2 linked regions of the Xenopus tropicalis genome follow. The protein of the gene in region 1 purifies or fractionates together with the protein of each later gene. This does not show direct contact. Links are inferred from orthologs where the notes say so. Each region holds a gene or a part of one and is shown on either strand. Other genes may lie near its edges. The genes, in order: pidd1 and casp2.

Region 1 (3,832 bases):
TAGGCTCATACAGTACAAATTTCTGCACCAAACCTACATAACACCCCTCAAACTGATGAGATTTGGAAGGAGACAGGATGACCTCTGCCCAAGATGTAAATCCCCCAGGGCCAATTTCTTTCACATGATTTGGTCCTGTCCCCCCATACACGAATTCTGGTCCAAAATAATGGAAACACTAGCAAGTGAACTGGGTACACCGCAGATAGTAGACCCAATAACTTGCCTATTAGGAGTCATAGATGGAATAATATGCACTAACGTGGCCAGAGTCAAACTGCGTACGCTCATGTTCTACGCCAAAAAAACAGTAATTATGCACTGGATGGGAGACACCCTCCCCTCCCAAACATTCTGGAGAAGGCTGGTGGATGAAGCTCTCCCCCTTATCAAATTAACCTATGAAACAAGGGGTGCTTATGACAAGTTTGACAAGATCTGGGAAAACTGGTATAATCAAGACAATCTGGACACATAACCTACCCCTTTACACTAAGGGGCACATTTACAAAAGCACGAACGCTCGTGCGGAAAGGTTTTACCGCTGTTTACAATTGTTCGGTACGGAAATTTCGTGACTTTCGGATCGCCAATACGATATTATCGTGACTAATACGATTTTTTCGTAAGCATTTTCGTGATATTTGCGATCTTCCGAAATTTTCATTTCCAATACGATTTTTTCCCATGCGTGATTCGGATTCGTGGATTAGTAAATGTGCCCCTAAGTGTGACTGATCCGAGAGAACTAAACACACTCACCTACACTGTGACAACTACAACGCCTAGTAATAGTACCTTTGACTGTATTGGCCTAAACCTGACTCAACACCATTTCAATCTCAATGTCAATATATTATACACCGTTTTGTATTTTTGTTTTGTGATGTTGTAAAACCAATAAAAATTTACCTTTAAAAAAGAAAAAAGTGGAGTAAAACATTACCAGTGATGTTGCTCATAGCAGCCAATCAGATGCTTTGCTTTGGTTTTCTAACTGTTGAAATCTATTTGCTGATTGGTTGCCCTGGGCAACATCACTGCTTCACTCCACTCTTTACACAGCATGATAAATATACCCCTTAGTGTTAGTGCTGTATTAGCCACATAATCCTGGGTACACACCTTTTGTTTAGGAACACACTGCAGCAGCACCTGTTCTGGGTCCCTTTTTCTTTGCAAGGCCACAAAATTCACCTGAGACATGCGTAGGCGAGTGTAGACATTTTTGGCAATTTCCCCAATGTAAGTTTTGGTAGTGTACCATAGCCAGTACCTTAAATCAGAGAAAGATTAAATAAGAACAGGGTGAGACAGGAAATATCAACATGTTTACTAGTTGGGCAGATTTGTAGAACTGATTGAACATATCCTATGTGGGAGACTTACCAGGAGAAATGATCCACTTGGAACCGGGCATAAATGTGGGTAATTTCAAATTCCACCTGCCCTGTGATATCTGTCCAGTTCTGGGCCTGCGGGTCTCCATGTAAAAGGACGAGTCTGGAGCGATCAAGAGTATCGCCTGGAAAGGAGTAAAGAAAACCTATCGCATTATCTAATAGCAGAACTTCATACATTTTTGCCTAATAAAAGAAAACAAAATTCTGAGAAACTTTGCAATATACATTCATTACAAATTTGTAATGGTTTTATTAGTTATTTGTATATACAGTATTATTGCTATTAAAAGCAGTGTCTGCCTGTCCTTTTCTATTCTCTGTCCTGGTAGCTCTGACATAACGTAAGACAAGGCAGCAGGCTGACAGACCTGTGTTGCTGAAGGAGACTGACCTTTGCAACATTGTATAAAAAGTAACAACCAGGAGTTCAGCAAATGCTGCTTTCTACAGTAATTACATTTACAAACAACTTTTAAAGCACTAAAATGTTTGAGTAAATTCATAATAGAAAGTTGCTTAGAATTGTGTTTTTTTTAATTAGGCAAAAAATTATTTTTGGTTTTTAAAAATAACTATTATGGGATAACTATGGTATAATAACAACCATGTATTCACATATCTGACCTGTGACCCCAGGTGGAAGTGGCAGTTGGATTTTGACAGGACACAGAAAATTAGCAGATGAGCTCTGTGACAGACACAACAGAGGGCTGGTTGCAGACTGGGAATCTCCAGTGATACTTTGAAAATCTGCAGTGCTTACTGGTAATACCTGATATGAAAAAGAACATAACCATATTAAAAGCATGTAGTATTAATGTCCATTTTTATATATCTGAGGGAACATACAGATGCAGCCTAAATCCTTTACCATGTTGTCACGTTATGTCTCTAACTGGTTGTCCCGGAGCAAAACAGAAAAAGAAACTAAAATTTGCCACCAGGTAGTGCATGGCCTATGTTGTTTTCTATTGTGTTTTGCTAGCACTCTAGCACCATCTAGAGGCAGGACCTGACACCCAAAAAATGGTGTCAGGACATGGCAAGACAACTTGTGAAAACTTGCTGGCTGTATTTATAGCAGAGAAATCTATTGTCTTTATACAAGAAGTGAAATATTAATCAATTATTAAGTGACTAATAAAAATTATATAGGGATTGTATAATCAGTATGTTAAATATAATCCAGCAATTATATAAAACAAATGGCAAAAATTATTCAGGTACATCAATAGTAAAAGTAGGAGAGAAAATCTATTGAAAAATGTAAAGAGTTTGGCTAAAGGGGACACTGAAATATAAATTAACTTAATTGTTTCTTTTACTCTATATATGCAATAGAAACACATGATTGAATAAAGACTTTGATAGTGTAGTTCAGTTTTAGTTAAGGCAGTACTTCTTAACTATGCTACCACTGTAAGTAAGTCTATAGGGTTTGGGCTCATTTTTTTGCACTCTGCCCACTGCATGGGGCTTTGTGAAAACAGCCAAAGGCCTCAGCCCCCTGTTTAGTGGACTGCACTTTGAATCAAACACAGGCCGCACTTGATTTATAACGGGTGGTCAGGGGGTTGCAGTCATTCTGAGGTGCAATGTAGGAGCAGCAGGATGAGCAGTCCACATCGGGACCCTGTCCTTACAGGGCTAGCTGTGCATCCTGATGCTGCACTCATCACTGAGAACCAGATTATTTAGCATGCAGGGGGCACAAGTGCTTTGAGCACTAAGGGGCAACAGAATAGAGGACATTCCATTGAATGAATGGTTGATACTGCAATGGGTAAAATCTACCCATAAAAGGAAGACCAGTAATAGCACGTATTACTGTATGGATTAATTGGAATCCACTATGTGACATGATCTGAGGTAGGCAGTAACAATTATATATGTGCTGGATTAATATATATCCACAGCTCTCCAAATAGGGAAAGTCAAAATCATTTTCTACAGTCACAGTTGCCTGTTCCTTCCATTAAATGTTTTACCTCCAGAACCAGTCACCACAAAGTTCCAATTTATTTCTGATTTGTGGTCACCAGGGGGGTAATCGTTCTTCATTCAGCAACATGAATGTGTGCAAAGATTCTTGCTCCTGATATTAAACAGACTGAAGGACAGTATCATTAGCGAGATCTCACCTGCATACTGATAGTCCGAGTCTCTTCAGTGGCACCAGGAGGAAATTCAATGCGAATGTTCTGGTCTACACTAGAAAACAAGACCTCTCCATCTTTTGGCACTTGACATTGATCTTTCACTAAACGTGACACCACAAAGAACCATGAGAAGTGAGGGACTTTGCAGATGGCCAGATTCTGAGCGAAGGAAATGGAAAAACAGAAAATGAAATGATATGCAGTGTAACTACACCATTTCTCTAAATTAAACATCTCCACAGTATGTTTAAGGTCCACACCCATAAAATA
Region 2 (4,403 bases), on another chromosome or scaffold:
AGGGGGGTACAGCCAGGCTCTATTAAACAACCAGTACAGGTATAAATTAGTCGCCGCTACCGACTCACTAATTACCCCATGTGGCTTCCCATACAGGAACCAGTCCCATTGGCCCAGTGCCTATAGAGTATGGGTCCAGAATATCAGCCCCAGTAACAGACTCACTGGCACCATTACCTGTAACACGATGGAGCGTAAGCTCTACGGGGCAGCTGTACTGTGTATTTGTACCTATTTATGCCCATAGGAAATGTACAATTCCCCTGAAGTGTAGGGTAGCTAGGGGTACATATAAGGGTATAGGTAGGTAGGTAGGGATATTGGGGTACATACACACTCTCTCAGTAGTATATAAGGGTATGGATAGGTAGGTAGGGATATTGGGGTACATACACACTCTCTCAGTAGCATATAAGAGTATGGGTAGGTAGGTAGGGATATTGGGGTACATACACACTCTCTCAGTAGTATATAAGGGTATGGGTAGGTAGGTAGGGATATCGGGGTACATACACACTCTCTCAGTAGTATATAAGGGTATGGGTAGGTAGGTAGGGATATTGGGGTACACACACACTCTCTCAGTAGTATATAAGGGTATGGGTAGGTAGGGATATTGGGGTACATACACACTCTCTCAGTAGTATATAAGGGTATGGGTAGGTAGGTAGGGATATTGGGGTACATACACACTCTCTCAGTAGTATATAAGGGTATGGGTAGGTAGGTAGGGATATTGGGGTACATACACACTCTCTCAGTAGCATATAAGGGTATGGGTAGGTAGGTAGGGATATTGGGGTACATACACACTCTCTCAGTAGTATATAAGGGTATGGGTAGGTAGGTAGGGATATTGGGGTACACACACTCTCTCAGTAGCATATAAGGGTATGGGTAGGTAGGGATATTGGGGTACATACACACTCTCTCAGTAGTATATAAGGGTATGGGTAGGTAGGGATATTGGGGTACATACACACTCTCTCAGTAGTATATAAGGGTATGGGTAGGTAGGTAGGGATATTGGGGTACATACACACTCTCATTAGTATATAAGGGTATGGGTAGGTAGGTAGGGATATTGGGGTACATACACACTCTCTCAGTAGTATATAAGGGTATGGGTAGGTAGGGATATTGGGGTACATACACACTCTCTCAGTAGTATATAAGGGTATGGGTGGGTAGGTAGGGATATTGGGGTACATACACACTCTCTCAGTAGTATATAAGGGTATGGGTAGGTAGGTAGGGATATTGGGGTACATACACACTCTCTCAGTAGCATATAAGGGTATGGGTAGGTAGGTAGGGATATTGGGGTACATACACACTCTCTCAGTAGCATATAAGGGTATGGGTAGGTAGGTAGGGATATTGGGGTACATACACACTCTCTCAGTAGTATATAAGGGTATGGGTAGGTAGGGATATTGAGGTACATACACACTCTCTCAGTAGTATATAAGGGTATGGGTAGGTAGGTAGGGATATTGGGGTACATACACACTCTCTCAGTAGCATATAAGGGTATGGGTAGGTAGGTAGGGATATTGGGGTACATACACACTCTCTCAGTAGCATATAAGGGTATGGGTAGGTAGGTAGGGATATTGGGGTACATACACACTCTCTCAGTAGCATATAAGGGTATGGGTAGGTAGGTAGGGATATTGGGGTACATACACACTCTCTCAGTAGTATATAAGGGTATGGGTAGGTAGGTAGATAGGGATATTGGGGTACATACACACTCTCTCAGTAGCATATAAGGGTATGGGTGGGTAGGTAGGGATATTGGGGTACATACACACTCTCTCAGTAGTATATAAGGGTATGGGTAGGTAGGTAGGGATATTGGGGTACATACACACTCTCTCAGTAGCATATAAGGGTATGGGTAGGTAGGTAGGGATATTGGGGTACACACACACTCTCTCAGTAGTATATAAGGGTATGGGTAGGTAGGTAGGGATATTGGGGTACATACACACTCTCTCAGTAGTATATAAGGGTATGGGTAGGTAGGTAGGGATATTGGGGTACATACACACTCTCTCAGTAGTATATAAGGGTATGGGTAGGTAGGTAGGGATATTGGGGTACATACACACTCTCTCAGTAGTATATAAGGGTATGGGTAGGTAGGTAGGTAGGGATATTGGGGTACATACACACTCTCTCAGTAGTATATAAGGGTATGGGTAGGTAGGGATATTGGGGTACATACACACTCTCTCAGTAGTATATAAGGGTATGGGTAGGTAGGTAGGGATATTGGGGTACACACTCCCCCACTAGTAGAAAGAGTAGAACGTTACTCCTGGTTACTATGGTTACAGCGCTTGGGAATCACGGCGGGTCGGTGACGTCACACTCACCTGGCGCAGGTCCCTCAGAGAGTATAGGCTCCGCCTTCTGGGGGGCTCATTGGGGAAACCAGGGAAACACAACAGGCCCGTGTGGGGGAGGGTTCGGGCCGCTACAAGAACAGAGCATGGACCCCGGTACCGTGACCCTCCCCTCACCCGTAACACCGACACCCACACGGAACCCCGACCTTCTCCCCAGCCCAATAGCTGCCAGGCGCATGCGCGCCCCCCGGCCAATCGGAACAGCGCGACGTCACCAGGATTTCCCGGGCTTTTTCCTAATTGGTAAATTCTTATATGGGTTTCGCGGGAATTCCTCACAGAGATCCGAAACAAAACATGGCTCCTCCGGTTGTTAGCAGCCTGAGCTCGGCCGGTGAAAGGCAGGAAGTAGAGCAGAGTGAGGCAGTGGGGCACGGAGCCCCTCCCCCTCCCTACAGCCCGGAGCTGAGGGAAGCCCCGCCCCCGCCATTCAGCAGTCACACAGCCTGTCACTTGTTTCCCCTCACACCTCAGGCAGCGCAGCTCCTTTCCCCCAGTGCACACTATATACTTTTTATTGGTACTTTTTAATGTATGAATTTCTCATTACTGTGTAACAAATAAATTGGTTGATTTTATCACTGGCAGTGTTTCATGAGCGCCAACTCTTTAAGGGTTAATATATTTATATTCTGACATAAGGGATTAGGTACAATAAATGTTACTAGCTGTGGGTCCATATTGGCCTGAATTAACTCACAACATAATACAGGTATAGGACCCATTATCCAGAATGCTCGGGACCAAGGGTGTTCCGGATAAGGGGTCTTTCTGTAATTTGGATCTCAATACCTTAAGTCTACTAAAAAATCAATAAAACATTCATTAAACACAATAGGATTGTTTTGCATCCAATAAGGATTAATTATATCTTAGTTGGGATCAATTACAAGGTTCTGTTTTATTTCTACATAAAAAAAGGAAATCAGTTTTAAAATTCTGAATTATTTGATTAATATGGAGTCTATGGGAGACGGGCATTCCGTAATTCGGAGCTTTCTGGATAATGGGTTTCCGGATAAGGGGTCCGATACCTGTACCGGCAACATCCAAAGATCCATCTGGCCCCATACAGGAACATTTTACAAAAAGAAGCCTACTTGGCCCAAGGATAACTCTACTAACATATAAAGGCTGCCATTTTTGGCACCACATTAGCTGCTGCCTTGGCCATTCCAGTACTGCCCATATATAGGGCCCAAATGACAGCCTCCCCAACTCATATCCAACAGGGGAATGGGCAGTTGAGAAGTTCCAGTAGGTCAGCGGCTCATAGGCCTGTTGATGCAGTCCCCTCTCGAGGATCTACACAAACCCCTATTATGGCCATACTGCCAGTTCGGTATAGAGTACTGGCTGCAGGGCCGGATTTGTAATCCTGCCGCCTCCCTCCGAGCATGCGCACGATCGGCACACACCCCCCCCCATGCGCATGTGCGAACATGCGATCGGCACCGCCCCCTCCCCAACGTGCATGCAGGGTGTAAACATTCGCATATGGAGCAGTGGGGGAGAGGTTCCCACTGCTCCATATGGATGAAAAAGCTCAAGATTGCCGCCCCCAAATTTGTGCCGCCCTATGTGACGGGTTTATTTTAAACAATGGCGGAATTGATTTAATTTCTCTCTGATGAGATTAGGGACTGATACCCAAAGGCTCCAACATGTCTGCCCCGGCCTGATTGGTAACAGTAGGCAGATAATCCAGTTACCCTGGCACCTATACGTCTCCCCACCCCTGCATAGAAACAATAGGGGCTTGCTGGGAGAATGGGCCCACAGGGACATAAAAAGAGCCCCAAAGAGATCTTGGAAGTCAGTCTTCAGAGAGAGAGAGAGAGGAAAGGATTCCTGCACTTCGGATCAACTTCTTCAGTGATTCTTCGGCCATTATTTTCTTCAGACTGTGGATTTACTTCTGTGGGACTTTGGAACTGCCTTTTTGCTATTTTACGATTTGTCGCTGTGTGATGTCATTGGACTTTA

Evidence for each region.
Region 2: the proteins of pidd1 (region 1) and casp2 purify together in Homo sapiens (affinity purification with western blotting; 5 studies listed by BioGRID and IntAct, with this or other methods). This does not show direct contact. The link is inferred for Xenopus tropicalis from reciprocal best matches to the Homo sapiens genes PIDD1 and CASP2.

What each region holds. Positions count from the first base shown.
Region 1 is NC_030680.2:31,397,333-31,401,164, reverse strand, and holds part of pidd1 (p53-induced death domain-containing protein 1), read right to left. Parts: intron 3,722-3,832; coding exon 3,545-3,721; intron 2,176-3,544; coding exon 2,028-2,175; intron 1,526-2,027; coding exon 1,390-1,525; intron 1,277-1,389; coding exon 1,126-1,276; intron 1-1,125. UniProt on the Homo sapiens protein: Component of the DNA damage/stress response pathway that functions downstream of p53/TP53 and can either promote cell survival or apoptosis.
Region 2 is NC_030683.2:7,306,220-7,310,622, forward strand, and holds the start of casp2 (caspase-2), read right to left. Parts: upstream 2,990-4,403; 5' UTR 2,385-2,989; intron 1-2,384. UniProt on the Homo sapiens protein: Is a regulator of the cascade of caspases responsible for apoptosis execution. Might function by either activating some proteins required for cell death or inactivating proteins necessary for cell survival.